Saccharomyces cerevisiae S288C: one gene and its partners. The gene in region 1 interacts genetically with each later gene. Each region holds a gene or a part of one and is shown in the gene's direction. Other genes may lie near its edges. The genes, in order: SPO24, FPR2, DIA1 and DFP1.

Region 1 (2,786 bases):
ACGAAGACTGCAAAAAATCTGTGCAGAACCTAATAGCTGAATTGTTATCGTCTGACAAGTATGGAGACGATACCGTGAAGTTTTTCCAAGAAGACCCCAAGCAATTGGAACAATTATTTGATGTGTCACTCAAGGGAGACTTCCAGACTGTGCTAATCTCTGGGTTCAACGTGGTCTCACTCTTAGTGCAAAATGGGTTGCACAATGTGAAACTAGTGGAAAAGCTGTTGAAAAACAACAACTTGATCAATATCTTGCAAAACATTGAGCAGATGGACACTTGTTACGTGTGCATCAGACTATTGCAAGAACTGGCCGTGATACCAGAGTATCGTGACGTGATATGGTTGCATGAGAAGAAGTTCATGCCCACCTTATTCAAGATCCTGCAACGTGCCACGGACTCTCAATTGGCCACGCGGATAGTTGCAACAAACTCCAACCACCTGGGTATTCAATTGCAGTACCACTCTTTACTATTGATATGGTTGCTGACCTTTAACCCAGTTTTTGCAAACGAGCTAGTCCAGAAATACTTGAGTGATTTCTTGGACCTCTTGAAATTGGTTAAGATAACCATAAAGGAGAAAGTGTCCAGATTGTGCATATCCATCATCCTGCAATGTTGCTCCACGCGCGTCAAGCAGCACAAGAAGGTGATTAAGCAACTTTTGTTGCTCGGCAACGCGTTGCCCACCGTACAGAGCTTGAGCGAAAGAAAGTATTCCGACGAAGAATTGCGTCAAGACATCAGCAACCTCAAGGAAATCCTAGAAAACGAGTACCAAGAATTGACCTCCTTCGATGAATACGTCGCCGAATTGGACTCCAAGTTGCTGTGCTGGTCTCCACCACATGTCGACAACGGTTTCTGGTCCGATAACATTGACGAGTTCAAGAAGGACAACTACAAGATCTTTAGACAATTGATCGAACTCTTGCAAGCAAAGGTCCGTAACGGCGACGTCAACGCGAAACAAGAAAAGATCATTATCCAAGTCGCCTTGAACGACATCACTCACGTGGTCGAGCTTCTACCAGAGAGCATCGACGTTCTCGACAAGACTGGCGGCAAAGCCGACATCATGGAGTTGCTGAACCATTCAGATTCTAGGGTGAAATACGAGGCCCTCAAGGCCACGCAGGCAATCATTGGATATACCTTCAAATAAAGATATAGAAGACCGTAAAGTAGTAGTGGGTTTGAAGCCTAAATAAGTAGTTTTGTACGTACTATTATTTTAAGAGAAGAACATCCATAGAAAAGAAAAGAAGAAAAAGAAACGAACCAGAAGAGGGTAGCAGAATCAGTCATTCACGCACCCGGCCTGCGCTGCGTGCACCGACTGCGTGCGTGCGTGATTGGTAATGCAGTGAATCATGCTTTTTCATGACGCCTCCTCCCCGCCCCTGAGCCTTCGGTGGCCGCCGAAGTCGGGTATTAATGGGCGCCCCTTTCCTGGTGTCCGGGAACCGCCTGCCGAAAACCACCCTCCGCAGGTCCGCGGAAGGTGGGTGTGGCTGTCCCCGCGCAAATCCGAGATCGATTCCGCGGCGGGTCGGTCATTCTTTTCATTTGCGCGCTAATATGCGCTGTGACTGGCGGTTAGTCATCTGCGTGATCAATCGTTGTCATGACGCTCTATAACGTAAGAGAACTTTAGAGGGGGCTCAATTAGCATGAAGAACAGACACATATATAAGGTCTCTAGATTTCTCCAATAGCTCAACTCTCACAATTGTTTCCTCTAGTCCTTGTAAAATATAAAAAATCATCATCAAACAAGCAACTACAAAACAGCTTTACTGACAACTCACACAAATAACACAAAAAACAAAAATTTCAACAATGGTCGCCTTTTTAGAACTAACTTCTGACGTTTCTCAACCTTTTGTCATCCCATCTCTTTCGCCAGTCTCTCAGCCAAGCTCAAGAAAGAACTCTGACGCAAACGTCGATGACCTGAATCTGGCTATTGCCAATGCCGCTCTTTTGGATGCCTCTGCTTCAAGCCGCTCACACTCCAGAAAAAACTCTTTGTCTCTGTTGTAAGTGTTGTACACGAGAATTAGCACACTATTAGCATAAAAGACACTTGGCATCTTTACTTACTTGGGCAAGTAAGTCACGTACTTTTTTTTTTTTTTCCGGAGCATTCATTGTCATTCTATCTGCACTTTCCCGCACTTACATTCAATAACCTCGGATCGGGTCTCTTCTACGACAGAAACTTTTTGATATATACATATTTATGTAATATAAATACTGAGAAAGTAAAAAAATTTAAAATATAAAATAATAAAAAATTTACTATTACTATAATTGATTAATGTAATCTTTCTTTGTTCAACCGTGCTGTTTAGCCTCCTTCTCGAGAGACACGCGTTTACCGTCGCTGTCACTACATCCACAATCGTAGTCCTCCAGGATGGTAGCACAGTCATATATGTCTTTCTTTAGGTATTCGTTCACCTTGTTGTGAATGTGGCATCCCCACATTGCGGCAGCCGTCCTGCTAGATGTCTGTACGGGATACTTCTCAATCAACTTTACAAAGTGATATGAACATTCCCCGCATGGATAGAGTTCTGCATACAACCCAATAAACGTGTGCAGTTTCTCTCTTTCTTCAGGAGTAGGCTCGTCCGGAAAACGGGCCAGCAGGGTATGGAAGTACTTCCACGACGCCCTGCCCACTTCCTTCTTCACCTTGTCATCGCCCATCAATGGCATAATGGTTTGCTTCTCGATCTCTTTCAACCGAGCGTCGTTCTTCTCAGCAGCC
Region 2 (5,704 bases), on another chromosome or scaffold:
TGCTGAGACTACTACTGTAACTGCGACCGACACAGCGTGCGAAACTAGGGAAGTAAAAAGGTATAGGAAGAAGAACTATGTTTAGAATAGCTAAAAACCTCGTACGGACTTTTGAGCAGAGCGTGCAAGATACCCTGGCACTCTCGCAGGACTCGAGCAATCTGGACGCTTTCTTTCAGTCTATACCACCAAATTTGTTGTCTGCTCAGTTGGAATCACCCGTAGATGCGGTTTCTGAAGGTGTTAAGCACACCAACGTCAATGAAACGCTTTCCGGTCTCCGCATTGTTTGGGTGGACGAGATGCAGTTCCAACTGCAGTCCTTTTTCGACTATATAGTAGGTTTCAATGATGATCCGGTGCCGGTGGTCAGTAATCAACACGGATTTTCGTACCCAGATTACCGTCGTATCACATCCATCTTCAATGAACACTGTGGCCGAACTTTGAAGGTCAACATATGGTCAGCTAAAGGAGGCACGTTCAGAGACGAGTATATCAGCATTATATCGAAGGAGAGCGACGATTTGGACGATGTTTCTCTAAACCATGACGAGAGGAGGCCATCTAGTGGGGAAGCGCACCAGTTCCAAGCACTCGGGTTCAAAGTCCAATGGACGCCTTTGATAGCTTCCACTTTCACATACCATATCCTGAACGTGAACATCCCAGATGGACCCGCCCAATCGGCAGGGCTCATCCCAGATGAAGACTACATTATCGGCTGCCAAGATGGCCTGTTGGCCACGGGAGGGGAGACGCTTTTACAAGATATTGTTAGATCAAGAGCAAACTACGATCTGGTCCTTTATGTCTACAACAAAGTTTCTGACTGTGTGAGACCAATCACAGTTCATATAGGTCCCGACGGCAGGTTGGGTTGCAACGTTGGATACGGGTTTCTTCACAGGATTCCAACAGTAAAGCACTGTCCACAACAAGCACAGCAGCAGGGGCAAGATGACAACCCTGTTCCTGTTCCTGTTCCAGTAGAATCTGAGACGGCTTTTGTGCCATCAGCATTCACAGCACCACCGGTGCCAACAAAGAAGAAATCAAAAAATAAAAAGGGTACCCAGCCATTGGCAATGGATGACTATTTTAATGAAGGCAGAGATAAGTCATCTACCGCTGCGAAGTCAGCAGAATCTGACATCCTCGCCCCACCACCACAAAAACAGTCATCCTCTGATTAACTTTCCTGGTTAGTCTTTTGGTTTTGTTTCATAGCAAAATTAAATATATATATATAAGCTTGCTTTCCCTTCAAAACACGTAAACGATAGTTGGCAATGTACGAAAAGTACCGAGACTTTTTTTCAAAGGCACGCGTGTCCTTTTTTGTTAAGACAATAGATATTTTAGCATTCAGAAAGTTTCAATTTCCAAGACTTGACGTTTCAATTATATGGCAATCTCCCAACAAGCACCCGCTCATATAATACCATGCAAGTGACCACAAGATTTATATCTGCGATAGTCTCGTTTTGCCTGTTTGCTTCTTTCACGTTGGCTGAAAACAGCGCAAGAGCTACGCCGGGATCAGATTTACTCGTTCTAACAGAGAAGAAATTTAAATCATTCATCGAATCTCATCCGTTAGTCCTCGTCGAGTTTTTTGCTCCATGGTGTTTGCATTCTCAGATCTTACGCCCTCACTTAGAAGAGGCCGCCTCTATTTTAAAGGAGCATAACGTCCCAGTTGTTCAAATTGATTGTGAGGCTAACAGTATGGTTTGCCTGCAACAAACTATAAATACCTACCCAACCTTGAAAATCTTTAAAAATGGTCGTATTTTTGATGGTCAAGTCTATCGCGGTGTCAAGATCACCGATGAAATCACTCAGTACATGATTCAGCTATACGAGGCTTCTGTCATTTATTTAAATTCCGAAGATGAAATCCAACCATACTTGGAAAATGCAACTTTACCAGTAGTAATAAACAGAGGCTTGACAGGCTTGAATGAAACGTATCAAGAAGTCGCACTGGACCTTGCTGAGGATTACGTCTTTTTATCCCTTCTAGATTCAGAAGATAAGTCATTATCAATCCACTTGCCAAACACTACAGAACCAATTCTGTTTGATGGAAATGTAGACTCTTTGGTCGGAAATTCCGTTGCTCTAACTCAGTGGTTAAAAGTGGTAATTTTACCTTACTTTACCGACATCGAACCTGATCTCTTCCCCAAGTACATTTCTAGCAATTTGCCGTTGGCTTACTTCTTTTATACTTCTGAGGAAGAATTGGAAGATTACACTGATCTTTTCACGCAGTTAGGTAAGGAAAATCGTGGCCAAATAAATTTCATTGCATTAAACTCTACAATGTTCCCACACCACGTTAGATTCCTAAATATGAGAGAACAGTTCCCATTATTTGCTATCCATAATATGATCAATAATCTGAAATATGGTTTACCACAACTACCAGAAGAAGAGTACGCGAAATTAGAAAAACCACAACCACTAGACAGAGATATGATCGTTCAGTTGGTAAAAGATTACCGTGAAGGTACTGCCAAGCCAATTGTTAAGTCAGAAGAGATTCCAAAAGAACAAAAGTCCAATGTTTATAAAATAGTTGGGAAGACACATGACGACATTGTTCATGATGATGACAAGGATGTCCTTGTCAAATATTACGCGACATGGTGTATTCATAGTAAAAGGTTTGCGCCTATTTACGAAGAAATTGCAAATGTCTTAGCATCTGATGAATCTGTTCGCGATAAAATCTTGATCGCCGAAGTAGATTCAGGGGCAAATGATATCTTAAGTTTTCCTGTGACAGGATATCCAACCATTGCTTTGTATCCTGCCGGAAATAACTCTAAGCCTATTATCTTCAATAAAATTAGAAATTTGGAAGATGTTTTCGAATTTATCAAGGAATCAGGTACACATCACATTGACGGCCAGGCAATTTATGATAAATTGCACCAGGCCAAGGATTCTGAAGTGTCTACTGAAGATACCGTACATGATGAATTATAATCAATAAATAAAGCATATATAATGCACATTTTTAACATCTGATTACTCGCATCGTTTCTGGAAGAAAATAGCTAATATTCGTTATTTATGGCATCACGATTATTCTCACCAGTTACCCGTTTATGCTCTTGAAGAGATTTAGCATTACTGCCAGCGCATCTTCAAATACAGGTTTATATGAGACCCATTACTATAACCCTAAGAAGAGAAAAAGGAGTGCTTTCGTTTTCAATCACATTCTAGTTTACAGTAATTGAGTCTCGATGATGTTTAATATTTACCTTTTCGTCACTTTTTTTTCCACCATTCTTGCAGGTTCCCTGTCAGATTTGGAAATCGGTATTATCAAGAGAATACCGGTAGAAGATTGCTTAATTAAGGCAATGCCAGGTGATAAAGTTAAGGTTCATTATACAGGATCTTTATTAGAATCGGGAACTGTATTTGACTCAAGTTATTCAAGAGGCTCTCCTATCGCTTTTGAACTTGGCGTTGGCAGAGTAATTAAAGGTTGGGATCAAGGTGTTGCCGGCATGTGCGTTGGCGAAAAAAGAAAGCTGCAAATTCCAAGTTCTTTGGCCTACGGAGAAAGAGGTGTCCCAGGCGTCATTCCTCCAAGTGCTGATTTGGTGTTTGATGTCGAATTGGTAGACGTGAAATCAGCCGCCTAGGTAAATTGGCACTCAGGCACATATCTGCAACAAGATGCATGGAGTACGTATGTGGCAAACTTTTTTTTATAGTTGAAAATATATCCATATGAGGATGCCAGCCATCATGTCAAGTTTCAATGTAATTATGGTTGTGTATATTATGTTTGCAGCAAAATAAAATAAAAGGGCTCTAACTACAATATATTAATATAAAGAAATGTTATTCAATCTAGTTTGGGTATGAATTTTTTCCCTCTTAATAAAAATAGTTTAAGTAGTTTGTTCAGTCTTCTTATCGCTGGTAAACATTTTTTGGGAATTTGGTTTTAAACTATCAAAAAAATCCTGAAAAAAGTCTTCAAAGGAATTGAATTGGTCGACGTCAGGAATCATGAAGTGACTACTGGACAAGTTCTCGTGCAAAGTACCAACATTAGTAGGCGAAGTAGCGGGTTTCGCGGCGTGCAGATTTCCTGCTCCTGTGTAGTTATTAGCATTAGTCGACATTTTATCATTATCACTATTCTCTTTTGACAAACTGCCAAAATTAATACGAGTCTTACTAGTATCAATTATAGATTTTATGATTTTTCCAACGTTATCAGTAGCCTCATTCATTTTTTCCCCTATAGTGCTCAAATGCCAGTACACTTTTGTACAAAGACTCAAAACGCGTTGACGTTCAGAAGAATCGAACCAATAAAGATAGTCACAAAGAGTTAAACAGGCGTAGACTAGTTGATGACAAGTAAAAATCGGAGCACCCCTTATTAACGTTGGCGGTAGTCTCAAAAACCCATTCAACAGCGAAAATGAATGTTCTTTCATCGTATTAAGAATTAGTTTCAAAAACCTTTGGTTGCTTTTTAGCGTGGAAGAAAATTCTGTGATAAAAGTGCGACATATCATGATATGATAAAAATCAAATGTGAACAATAGCACGCCCGCGCCATCCTTTGCTAAAAGCTCTTCCCAATTTTTCAGCCAATAATTTAGCTCTGGAAAAACAAAGATAAAAGTATCTGCGTTACCTCCATATCTGTCATTGTTAAAGTCATCCAAACACTGCGCAAAATAATTTTTAAGGTTTATAAAGATGCCATTTACGATGTCACCTAAATTTATCTCACTGATTTTAATGTCATCACCAAAATTCGCCTGAGGAAATTTCGCCACAAGTTTATTAAACTCTTTAAGCATATCATCCTGTTCCCTAATATCGCCGTAACTAATGGAATATTCTAAATAGCAGGCAGTTAGTGAATTTAGTATTCTTAGATGATAAAGATCTTCGGGATTATACACTTCTTTTACCAAAACCCTATCCTTTATCTGATAAAAATCTATTACATGTAACAAGCTATTGAGCGCAAAATTGCTTAGTACCAGAGAATTAAACTTCAGTTGCCTATATCTCTTTGCCTTTCGCGAAATATGGAACATACAGCAATATAAAATAGCCTCAATATCAAACGCTGTTAACTTTTCAAACATGGTTAACGTATTAGTGAGTAATCTCTCCACTAAAGGATACAATATTTCTTGTTCTGCAGCGTATTTATCGTTGTCAGCAAAACTCATAGCGATAATAGTAAAAACACTTGTAATAAATAGGTGTGAGTGGGCATATTCCACGTCTATCTCTTTTCTCCCACCTGGAATTATCCAGAAATGGGATCTCACCAGAAATTCTTTTGCAAGCTTATGGCATAATTCCTGATTATTCTCATAAAAATGGAGAAAGTTCACTCTTGCAACAGCATATGGCCTTTGCTGTCCAGCTAGCTTCGCAGCTTTAGATGTAGCCTTCGATGGAAATAGCCTCTCATCAATATCATGTAGCAATTTTAAAGGAGATTCCTTCAACTTAAATCCATTTAAGAAAAGATTTTCTTTTCTATATTCCCCTGTTTTCCTTATCGTCTCTGAGCCCGAAGTTAGACGACTATCGTACGTCTTATTTGAGCTGAAATCCACGTTCTGAATATCATCTCCAGGGCCTTTGATATCGCTGTTATAAGACATCTTTGCTGTGGTGATTATCAAGTCCA
Region 3 (6,144 bases), on another chromosome or scaffold:
CTCGTTAGCCGGGTTGGCTCCAGATGCTAGAGTTTTAAGTAATTATTTGAGACAACAGTGTAATTACTCCAGCTTAGTTTTTAACAGAAAGCTTGCCGTCGAGAGAGCAGGTCATTTGCTTTGCGATAAAGCACAGAAAAATACACAATCCTATGGGGGCAGACCCTACGGTGTTGGTTTGTTGATCATCGGGTATGACAAGAGCGGTGCTCATCTTTTAGAATTCCAACCTTCCGGAAATGTCACAGAACTATATGGTACAGCTATTGGCGCAAGAAGCCAAGGGGCAAAGACTTATCTAGAGAGAACTTTAGACACGTTTATAAAAATTGACGGGAACCCGGATGAACTAATCAAAGCTGGCGTCGAGGCTATCAGCCAGTCTCTAAGGGACGAATCCTTGACTGTAGACAATCTTTCAATCGCCATCGTGGGTAAGGATACGCCTTTTACAATTTACGATGGAGAAGCTGTTGCTAAATACATCTAGGTCTGGACACAAAGTATCGTTTCCACTAAGCAATTGTCAAAGCAAGACCAAAGAAGCCTTTCACCACGGTCGGGGTTTTTTTACATATAAAGATAATAATAGATTAACTTAGTACGTAGTCTCACTTCTCATTCAAAATTAAAAAAGACGTGGCTTCCAAATCAACTAATAACCCCGCTTAATTCCGCCCTCCGCCGGGGAATAAACGGAGTTATCCCCTGTTGAAAATTCAGCATGATTATGTATCACAATACATAGGTGTTCGTCTATAAAAAGAACTACTTATTCTGGATAAACTTTCGAACTCGCTCAAACCTATTTGTTTCTGTACATCGAATAGACCCATAATCACTTCTTGGTTCCAAAAAGTAAAGTAATAGCCAAAAATGTCCCCATTGAACGTCGGTATAGTTGGTACAGGTATTTTTGCCAGAGATAGACATCTCCCATCCTACCAGGAATTTCCTGACAAATTCAAAGTCATTGCCGCCTTCAACAGACATAAGGCAAAAGCTTTGGATTTTGCAAAGGTTGCTGACATACCTGAAAATAAGGTTTACGACAATCTAGATGAAATTTTGAATGACCCTCATGTCGACTACATTGACGCTTTGCTACCTGCTCAATTTAATGCTGATATTGTCGAGAAGGCAGTTAAAGCAGGTAAGCCAGTTATTTTGGAAAAACCAATTGCGGCCAACTTAGACCAAGCAAAGGAGATTGTCAAGATAGCAGAATCCACCCCATTGCCCGTTGGTGTGGCTGAAAATTGGTTATATTTACCATGTATTAAAATCGCAAAGGAGCAGATCGAGAAAATTGGTCCTGTAGTAGCATTCACCCACAATTCTACCGGTCCATTTGTTACTCAAAATAAATATTTGACCACAACCTGGAGACAAAAACCAGAGCACATTGGCGGATTTCTATCTGATGGTGGTGTCCACCAATTAGCTCTCGTTATTTCCCTACTCGGTGAATTTGGATCTGTTTCTGCATTAACGAGACAGGTGCGTGAACGTTCCGGTGCAGATGATATTGTCTTTGCTACTGTCCAGTTGAAAAATAAAGAGGTTATCGGAAGTTTTACTTATGGGTCTGCCTTTGGTGCTACCGAAAAGTCGGTTTTCTTGAAAGTCTATGGTAAGAATGGTACCGTTACCGTTGACTTATCAGACAAAAAAGACCCCGTTGTAAAAGTCAAATTAGGGGGTTCAGCTGAAGATAACGGTGACGAACAAATTTTTAAAGTCGATAATGATGAAAGTTTCGGCGTCAACGCTGAATTTTTGAATTTTCACGAAGCTGTCAGCAAGAAGGACAAATCCTTATACCTAGGCACACCCAGAACTGCATTTCACCATTTGGCTTGTGTGGACGCGTTTTTAAAATCTTCTGCCAAGAATGGTGACTACGTTAAAATTGAGCAGCCATGATTACCGTTTTACGATGTAACGCTTTTTTAACCTTAATAGATAGATTCCCTCATATATTTATAACTATGTACCCACATAAGTATACTTTTGGAATGATAATACTAACGAGATAAAAAACCGTTGAAAAATTTCTAAGTTTTCTTGAACTAAAAATAGCCAAAATTCTCCATCCACTTGTTGTTGCAAAATGTTACGAAGGCGAGGTTCTTGGAAATCTGGATGATTATGGGAAAATTCGTTCAACAAGAACGCCGAGCCTGGACGAAATACTTAGTCGGCATGGAACTAGTTATGAATGACTTTTCCTATATAAGATCTACAACCGTTTCCAATTCACCATGAGATATATATATGTTTAACGAATCAGGTACTCGTCCGAAGCATTTCGAGTAATGCAACCCCACAAGTGTCCCCCAAGAATTCACTGGGATTTTTGATGACCGAAAGAAAGCTATTGCAGCTGCTACGGCGTCCTTTCATCTCCCTTTCTTTATTCACGGCCTTAAGAGCTTGTCCGCTTCGCCCCAAAAGCCTAATTGCTTAGAGCATGAGAGTTGAAAACGACCAGAAGTGTCGTTTTAGGTAAGCATTCGGCCATAATGAACAGTAAGTTTGTCCGAAAAATACACCGCTAGGGTTCGATAACGAAGAGCGCATATCAATTGCGTTGTCGACTTAATTGCTCTCTTAGTACAACGGTATGTGTCAGTGATAAAATCCTACCGGTTCCACTTTTTGTGAGCGATAGATGACGGAACGTATGCGCCTATTTCTTTTTTTTGGCGCAGCAAGGGACAATGGTCCCTTTTTGAGAAAATGTTGTAGGCTTGGCCATCGGCGTGAACGCATATAAAAAGAAGACTGCCAACATGACAGTATTTGAAACAACTACAGATTTGGCAAAGTTCGCCAAGATAAAGAAGACCGAAGCAGGTGCTAAGCTTCCATTAAAAGTTTTTCAAGAAAAATCTGATTATGGGTTCAATAAGTAGATACCTTCTTAAGAAAGCAGCAGATGGGCTTAAAGATGAGCAGAGATTGAAGATTGAAATGTCCGATAGCAAAAGTGTCCCAGAGTGCTTTCATTTTAATAGGGAAAGAAGAATGCCCATAGCCGAGATAAACGGCGAGGATGGGTTTTTCATGTTTCCGTCTCAGCAATCGCTTGAAAATTTTGAAAACACTAAAAAGTATTCGAATGAGCTGAGTCCAGATGCAATTGGTATTCCATTATTCCAAATTATCAATTGCACTCTACCGTTTGGTAAAAGAGGTCATAGCAATACTGTGGTCGGCAATGTCCCATATTATAAAATTTTCAAATTTATTTTAAGAACGGCAGACGAACCTCCGCCTTATACTGTGGCAAAAATCGTTTGCTCAAACAACGGATTAATATTGTATAAAGTGCCTCTTTACGACATATATAAAAATGTCAGCCAAGCAAACGTAACTTACAGCTTCGTAGGGACTACGTCTACGGAGCCCAACTTACTAGCAATGGCTCACCGAGAAGGACACAGGGATTTGGACACTAAAGTGAATAATTTAAATCTCAGGTGGCATGTCACTTATTCGCCCGTAGTTACCAACGATCATTATAAATTAATTCTGTTAGCAGATTATGAAGTGAATCGTTTGGATGAAGATGTCATTAGAGCCGCTAAAAATAAGATGTCCATCGACCAAAAGGATCAAAAAGTTCAGAGGTTCGTGGCAGCTCATTATACTAGAGAATTTGAAACATCTCTTTTTAGGTGGGTCGCTCAAGAGGGCCACTTAATTCTTGGCGAGTATTCCACAGATCAAGGATCATTTGGATTGAATAATATCCCACCATTGACGGAAGAACTCGGGTGTCAGAGCCTGCTCATACATTACATAGAGTACATGAAGAGACAACGTAAAAAAATTGCGAAAGAGGCAAGGAGACAAAATAAAAGAAACGTTGCAAACACGACTAACATGAACATGAACCTCATGTAACAAAAGTTTGCGTATAATAAACCAGTATAGATGTGTAACTGTAATTTTTAACTTATCACAAGCTCGTTCCCTTCCTGCGTTGAAAAAGCGGGACAATGCCAGAATATAAAAAAAAGAAGAAACTTTAAACCCTGTCATATCTTGTCCGAGATCTCGTCGTTCTTGTTTAATTGATCTTCTTCGTATACTGCCAAAGGTGCCAAGGCACAAAAAAGTTTAAAGTGGCACGGGCTATTGCGTCACATAAAGCCCGTAGCGCAAAAAAGTGATAGCTGACTTCATTAGATCACCAAAATGGAAAAAACTTCGTGAAGATTTCTTTTTATCTTCCTCACAGTTTTTAACTTCCGGGTGTTATACTCTCCGTTTGAAAAGTTGATTTTGTTAACTTTCCTCTTTCCTTTTGGAGTAAAAACAATATCCTCGATAGGCAAGACCTTCCTGCACCGCTATGGCGGCCATTTTGATTTTTCTTTACTGTGGGAAGCAAGAACTTGTTCAGGCGCCTTCCTGGATAAGCCATCTTTTTTCAAACAGTTTCTTCTATACGATAGGAAAGTCGTTGGCCAATCGATTAATTAATTGAACAATAGGAGCCAAATAAGCAGGATATCTTCTTTCGTATACCGCCTGCCTCATTATTCAGAACAAACACGAGTGATCTGACACTATGAAGTTAGCAGTAATCCTTTCTAAGAGAGGTGGCCCAAAATTCGAATAAAATTAACTTTCCTTACCATTTAGCCTCTATCAAAAAGGTTCTAAAAAGTAATATCACACAGCCGAGCCTAGGACGTCACCTCTTTCCTACACAGTTGACATTACTTATGTACTCAAAAGGACGTATGTACCAAGGAAAGCATAGTTTTTATTCAAATCGAGTTTTTTATTCTTATATCCTGCTTAAAAGTGGTGATTAATGAGGAAAAAATGACAGCAAGAATGAAATAGTATGTAATTTCTTTAGATTTAGCGGTGCCCGTGCCTTCCACGCGCAACTGTTCTCTCTAATTTACTATTCGCTTTGAACGTAAAATGTGCTTTAGTTTCCCAGATGTAGCTCAAGTATTATACCATCTTTTGCACCTACTTTACTAAATTCATCTCAGGTATAATTGTATCGCATATTCTATTTTTTTTGACATTTAATGCAAAATTGTGTACCTTTCGTTAAGGCGAATTTTCTGGACCATGCGCAGATCTGATCCAAAATAAACTTTTTTTCATGAAGCTCGTTTGCGATCATTGCCTGTGAATTTAGCGAAGGTGTCAGTCCACGGCGACTTAGAACTCACGTAAAAATAAGCATCTTGCTAAGACTGTTCAGCAGTCAACAGTAAAGTTCTGAAAACATGTTTTCTTAGTCTCTATCTTTGCCCATGTTCCTCTCAAGTGGAACAAAGCTAAAAATGAAATATTAATTTTATATAAAGTCTCACTCACACCTGTGGTAATTTTGTTCCCTCAGATTTGTCAATGATTCTGTCATAGAAAAGGTATCCACAAGAAAGGGTAGCGCCGTATCAAAATGGGTTCATCTGGTTCAAAATCGACCACAGCCACTACCACATCGCATAGTAGCACGACTACTACTAGTAGCACAACCAGTACAACTACGCCTACTACCACTAGCACGACAAGCACGACAAGCACTAAAGTTACAACTAGCCCAGAAATTATTGTCAGTAGTTCTAGCACATTAGTTTCTTCTGTTGTACCCGAGTTTACTTCTAGCTCGTCGCTCTCCTCTGATACAATTGCCTCAATTCTATCATCGGAGTCATTGGTTTCCATTTTTTCTTCTCTTTCTTACACATCATCCGATATTTCTAGTACATCAGTCAACGATGTCGAATCATCAACCTCTGGCCCCTCAAACTCATACAGTGCGCTTTCCTCCACAAATGCACAACTGTCCAGCTCCACTACAGAGACTGACTCCATAAGTAGTAGTGCTATTCAAACATCTTCCCCGCAAACCAGTTCATCAAATGGAGGTGGTTCCTCTTCGGAGCCATTGGGAAAGTCCTCTGTCCTTGAAACTACTGCTTCATCTTCTGATACAACTGCAGTCACATCCTCCACATTTACCACGCTTACTGACGTTTCATCTTCTCCAAAGATAAGTTCCTCAGGATCGGCTGTCACTTCAGTTGGTACTACTTCCGATGCCTCAAAGGAAGTTTTTAGTTCAAGCACGTCCGATGTTTCTTCCCTACTATCAAGTACTTC
Region 4 (5,462 bases), on another chromosome or scaffold:
AGTGGATTTTTATTCCAACAGAATTGCATTCCAACACATTGCCCCTAGCAATAATAGAAGTCCTACAATTATCAGATTTTTTAGCCAATTCTCAGCAACAAATCTAAATAGCAATTGCTCTTTTTAATTAATGGTTTACAGTTGTGATGCAACGCAATCCTTTTTCTTATAATTGGTTTACATATTTTATCACTGAAAATAATGTTGTATTACGGGCTCGAGTAATACCGGAGTGTCTTGACAATCCTAATATAAACAGTCTTAGGGAAGTAACCAGTTGTCAAAACAGTTTATCAGATTAATTCACGGAATGTTACTTATCTTATATATTATATAAAATATGAATCATACTAAGTGGTGGAAGCGCGGAATCTCGGATCTAAACTAATTGTTCAGGCATTTATACTTTGGGTAGTTCAGCTAGGGAAGGTCGGGTTTTGTCTCATGTTGTTCGTTTTGTTATAAGGTTGTTTCATATGTGTTTTATGAACGTTCAGGGTGACGTATTGTCATACTGACATATCTCATTTTGAGATACAACAAATAACATACAATTTTGGCAACTTGGCCGAGTGGTTAAGGCGAAAGATTAGAAATCTTTTGGGCTTTGCCCGCGCAGGTTCGAGTCCTGCAGTTGTCGTTATTTTTTTTTACTGATGATATTTCACCTCTTCAAAGCATACTCATCTTCAACTCGGATTCAACACGAGAAAGAATTATTTAAATCGGTACAAAGCAATACACTATTCAAAATCCTATCGTTTCCCAATTGTGTTGTGCGCGCGTTATTCTGCGATTCCGTGTAAGTGCATAGAGTAGGTTGTTGCAATAAAAAATGTCTCTAAATAGCAGGCCGACAGACATAACCAAATGATTTCCGTGAACAACCTCAAATTTTCAGGCTTTGAACGTGATTTTCCCAAACCCTGTAACTTGATGTGTAAATTTAAAATGGAATTGGCATGCCAGCTATCATCCCTTAGTGCTTTCAGTCCGAGAGTCTCCATATGTCTGACTTCACGACCTAATTGAACCGGCGCCCATTTCTGGGACATCAGCACTTGCGGTGCTGTTCCAAATAATATCTAAGGTAAGTTTAATGGCCCAGCCCGATCGTGAACGTTAAAGAAAGCATACGTCAAAATATTGGTACCTTATAAGAGTAAAAAAATGCTGTTTCATCTCGTTTGGTAGAGTATATATAAAAAGAGCGGTTTCTGAATTGTTGAAATTTGAACTGTTCAAGATTTACTTAGTAGTATGAACCTGCAGGGATCATCCAGAAACAAAATGCTGTAGCTTCTTCTCTGAATTGTATTTCTTTACAAAGAGCTTTGCTATTTTGCCTTGAAACAGCATATCTCATGGCGAGCGCTTCCATAGCGCTTGAAGCAGACCAAAGCAACATGCTGGAAGACCAGATTCCTAGACTATTCATGTACATCTCTACATAGTATGATCGACTTCGGGATTTTTTATTCCTTACTACGTGGTTTTTACGATGGCATGATCAAATTCTGTGAAGCTGTTTTGTCTGTCAGTGGGATCGTGCATTGTACTCAGTTAGAAGTGCGTTTGGAGCTTTGTAACATGGCACAAGTGAAGTGAAAGACGCCCTTTATAGAAAGGAGAGTTAGCTAATGTAGAAGTACAGCTGGTGATAAGAAAACGCTGATGCAGAATCAGGAAAGTGTTCTCGTTGTATTTTCCAAGTCTACTTGATTTTACAGTTAACGTAATATTCTTTATTATGTAGTGGTAAGAAATACTCAAACCGTAGGAAGCGGACTTGAGTTTGTTTTTATCTTCAGAGTATATGCATCCACGAAACACACCCTCATTGGTATAATGTTGGTACTTTCATTCCTACGTAGATTATGAAGTATAGGAGGAAAAAGAAAAAATAATGGTTGCTAAGAGATTCGAACTCTTGCATCTTACGATACCTGAGTATTCCCACAGTTCACTGCGGTCAAGATATTTCTTGAATCAGGCGCCTTAGACCGCTCGGCCAAACAACCACTTATTTGTGATATTTGGGTCACAATGTTTTAACTATTTGGACACTGACTTGTTATTAGCTGATCGCTAATTCAAACACATGGTTATATAAAGCATTCTTTCTGAAGAGACACCCAAAAAATAAGTACAGCATGGAAGTAATTATCATGCGTGTACGTGTTCTACTACATATTTTGCTATTCGGCATTGTAATGGGAAGTGATTCATAGGTGGCTGCCCCATTTTCAACGAGGGTAAAGTTTATAACTTTTTGTCTGGTCGTCCTCTTAGCTATACAACATCGTTATTGTTTAGGTATTATCCAACAATTAGGACACAGGCGTGAATAGTTTTATTAACAAATATAAAGTTAGCAATCGGCCAGTAAAAGTTTTAACGCAGGGACATCTCAGTAAATAAGTCATGCCTATGGTCCTCATCTAAATTTCGAAAAGAGACTGTGTTACGTATTATTCGCGAAGAACAATGATGATATATATCTGGCGATTTTACGGCCATTATCAGCGGTAAAACACCCAAGGTGTTGACTAAGTGATGGAGTCTGCGGTGGACAAGTGTTACTTTTGCTATACTACTAATCCAGCATTCCGTGATCATAGTTTAAATGCGCTGGCGTATTGGGAGCTCTTTGATACAACGAGAAGTCAGACATCAGCTCGCCGAAGCGTCCTAACAGTAACTAACTAACAATAAGCCTTAATGTAGTCCTCTTCCATATTCAATCTACTCTATATTCCGCTGGAGACCTGCTCACTCAATAGATCAGAAACACTCTTATATCCAAAAATACACAGGTACGAAAAATCTCGATCGAGAAATTCAAGGAAATAGAATAATCCTACACACATAACATTAAAAAAAAAATCCCTACGACAGAACTTCCCAGTCTGCTTTTGATTTACTTTTAATAAATACAGATGTTTTTTCAGTACCTTTCATGTTCCCATCCTTGTTACGATATATACTTTCATCTGGGGGCGCTAAAGAAAGCGAAAAGCTATGTACGTACAGTTGAAAAAAAGGAAAATACCAATTGAGGTTTGAAATGTTCGACACATTCAAGTCTATTTTTCCTAAGCTATCAGGATAAGGTTTACTTGACTTGTAAGCAAAAGCAAGTTAAATCGTTTGTTAAACATGCAATCTTATTTAAAAAAAACACTCATGTCACGGACGATCCTAAAGCAATCCCATTGAGGGAAGGATCTCCTGACAACCCTGAAAGTCCTTTAATCTCAGCTGATATCGTCCTTCCAGAGGATGAGTTTGCATCATACCAGAGTTATTTGCTTTACGAAATTGTACGCGCCAAGTATATAATGATCAATTTCCTCCTTTTTGTCTTGACGATTTTGGCGACTTTAACAAACATTTGGTTTTCTGGTGTTCTCTCCCCTGCCATGGTGATCCGGATATGTTTAGGTGGCTCTATGGTAGTCCTTCAGATATGGTCATTCAGTAGACCAATAAGTAATGAAACATTCCGTACAAAACTTCTACTAGAGGTAATAACTCATAGACCATCGATAGCTGGGAAAGAATGGAAAACCATAACGTATAACATGAATCAATATTTGTTCAAGGCTGGCTTATGGAAAACACCATACCACTTTTTTTGTGAACACCAGTGCTATGAATTTTTCAAGGATCTCATAAAGGGAAAATATCCTGATGTACAGTGGGATACAGCGAATACACAGCCGTTCATCAGTGTTCCAGAAAATCAGGCTGCAACTCAAAATTCTGATGTTGAACCAACCGTAAAGTGGTGCCTCTTTAAAGCAGCCGAAATTCAAGCCCATGCTGTGCGGGAATATTGGCAAAGTCAATATCCAGATGTGGGCATACCTGCAATATGAGTAGAGTTTACGTATCTAATATATTGGTATAAAAAGAACGCATCTTTTTTTTTTTGGGCTGTTCTGGGCTCCAGGAAGTCATAAATTGTGGGTACGCTTTAGATGTGTTTGCAATATTTGCAACTGCTCTCCCAAAAAAAATTAGCATTGCAAGATATTGAATAACTGGGTCGTCCCGAAGCAACAGTGGGGAAATAGTTTACGAGTTTTGTTCAAGTTAAAAGCATTTTTTGTTGTGAAGAGAATAAACTTGATTTCGAAGGAGATCAAATTCGAAATAATCTGCGAATTTATTATGATCGACTAGGCAACGAAGACGCAGTTTTCTATTAAATCTGTGCGTTTGAGTAACTTAACTGACTATAATATCGCAATCTTAACATCATTAAACAATGTAAAAGAGGTCATACGCTATAAGAAGTTGATTTGATCCCCCGTGGATTTTGAAAAATGTCAAGATCAGCATATTGACCCATGTTTTTCCGCTCAATCCAGTCTATCAATCATTTTTCAACAAGGATAACCATAACATTCACCCACCATGCTTTGGTTCATAAGATATACGGGGAGATCAGCAACTCTTCAACTTATTGAACATGTTGAGAGCAGGATTAAATAATCAATGTCCTGTGATTGCAACATCTATCATGCCTGACGTTTCTCGAACGATACAATCTACAATTTAATGAGCCATTTTAGCATATTAACGAGGGCTGCATGAGGATCGAATGGACAAAAGTGTTTTCAGGCATGGGAGAATGGGATGCTTATAGAGGAGTTTAACCATGAAATTAAATGATTCTCCAGCAAGAAAAAAAAAACTCCTGACTCAGTTCATGTGGCGGGAAATTTCTCTCATTGTCTCCCCCTGCAGCGCTACTAATCTTAAAGGTAGTGGTGGCTTCGACATTATATCGTTGGTTCAGGTTGTCCGATCACTAATGATCTGTTACTTTATTGCTATGTTATGTGTCAAAAGGTGATATCCCCATTTTTACTGATCGCAGTAATATTTTAACCTGCCATGGTTAAATTGTTTATTGTCATTGAGTTGAGCACTTTTTCATTGCACTGTAGTTGTTGCGTATTTCAGACTTACTCTTATAGTGACGCTAACAGGAGGTCTGGCTCTTAATACAAGGACGTCGTAATATTCTGTTCACCGGACTCGAAAGCAAGAAGGAAAAAAGCACATTGTAGCCTTTTCAAAAACCTATCTTTTGGTACTAATTTATGGCGGCCCATACAGAGAGCTACCCTAAGAAATAGTTCGCATTCGTATATGAACTTCGGCTTTGAATATTGCGGATTCGTGCACAATACAAGACTTCTGTCGTTCCATGTCATCTATTGCGCGATTATTTTTTCACCAATTCCTTTCATTTCTAGTGGTTTCAAGGCGCAAGATTAATCTTAGATTTTACCTCCATCAAAAGCTCGGTAATTGGCACGTCATTTTACTATATGGCCTCAACAACATCGCTATACAGATTTGGGCGCCCTACTTAGCGAGACTTCCTACATTTGGAAATTACCCTAAAGGCATATTCTCTTCATGTAATAGCTCGCACAATGTAACCC

Evidence for each region.
Region 2: mutations in SPO24 (region 1) and FPR2 together harm fitness more than expected from each alone (negative genetic interaction), as found in Saccharomyces cerevisiae (one large-scale study listed by BioGRID).
Region 3: mutations in SPO24 (region 1) and DIA1 together harm fitness less than expected from each alone (positive genetic interaction), as found in Saccharomyces cerevisiae (one large-scale study listed by BioGRID).
Region 4: mutations in SPO24 (region 1) and DFP1 together harm fitness more than expected from each alone (negative genetic interaction), as found in Saccharomyces cerevisiae (one large-scale study listed by BioGRID).

The regions. Positions count from the first base shown.
Region 1 is NC_001148.4:644,101-646,886, forward strand, and holds SPO24 (Spo24p), read left to right. Parts: upstream 1-1,849; coding exon 1,850-2,053; downstream 2,054-2,786. Other genes in the region: VMA13 (H(+)-transporting V1 sector ATPase subunit H), read left to right, coding at 1-1,172; ERV2 (flavin-linked sulfhydryl oxidase), read right to left, coding at 2,348-2,786; IRC16 (Irc16p), read left to right, coding at 2,736-2,786. UniProt on the Saccharomyces cerevisiae protein: Required for efficient sporulation.
Region 2 is NC_001136.10:1,477,162-1,482,865, forward strand, and holds FPR2 (peptidylprolyl isomerase family protein FPR2), read left to right. Parts: upstream 1-3,263; coding exon 3,264-3,671; downstream 3,672-5,704. Other genes in the region: GRH1 (Grh1p), read left to right, coding at 78-1,196; protein disulfide isomerase EUG1, read left to right, coding at 1,447-3,000; URC2 (Urc2p), read right to left, coding at 3,924-5,704. UniProt on the Saccharomyces cerevisiae protein: PPIases accelerate the folding of proteins. It catalyzes the cis-trans isomerization of proline imidic peptide bonds in oligopeptides. FKBP-13 may play a role in protein trafficking in the ER.
Region 3 is NC_001145.3:901,924-908,067, forward strand, and holds DIA1 (Dia1p), read left to right. Parts: upstream 1-2,901; coding exon 2,902-3,912; downstream 3,913-6,144. Other genes in the region: PRE5 (proteasome core particle subunit alpha 6), read left to right, coding at 1-490; YMR315W (uncharacterized protein), read left to right, coding at 877-1,926; YMR315W-A (uncharacterized protein), read left to right, coding at 2,363-2,470; YMR316C-A (uncharacterized protein), read right to left, coding at 3,739-4,050; YMR317W (uncharacterized protein), read left to right, coding at 5,441-6,144. UniProt on the Saccharomyces cerevisiae protein: Involved in regulation of invasive growth.
Region 4 is NC_001133.9:177,700-183,161, reverse strand, and holds DFP1 (DUP240 family protein), read left to right. Parts: upstream 1-3,341; coding exon 3,342-3,881; downstream 3,882-5,462.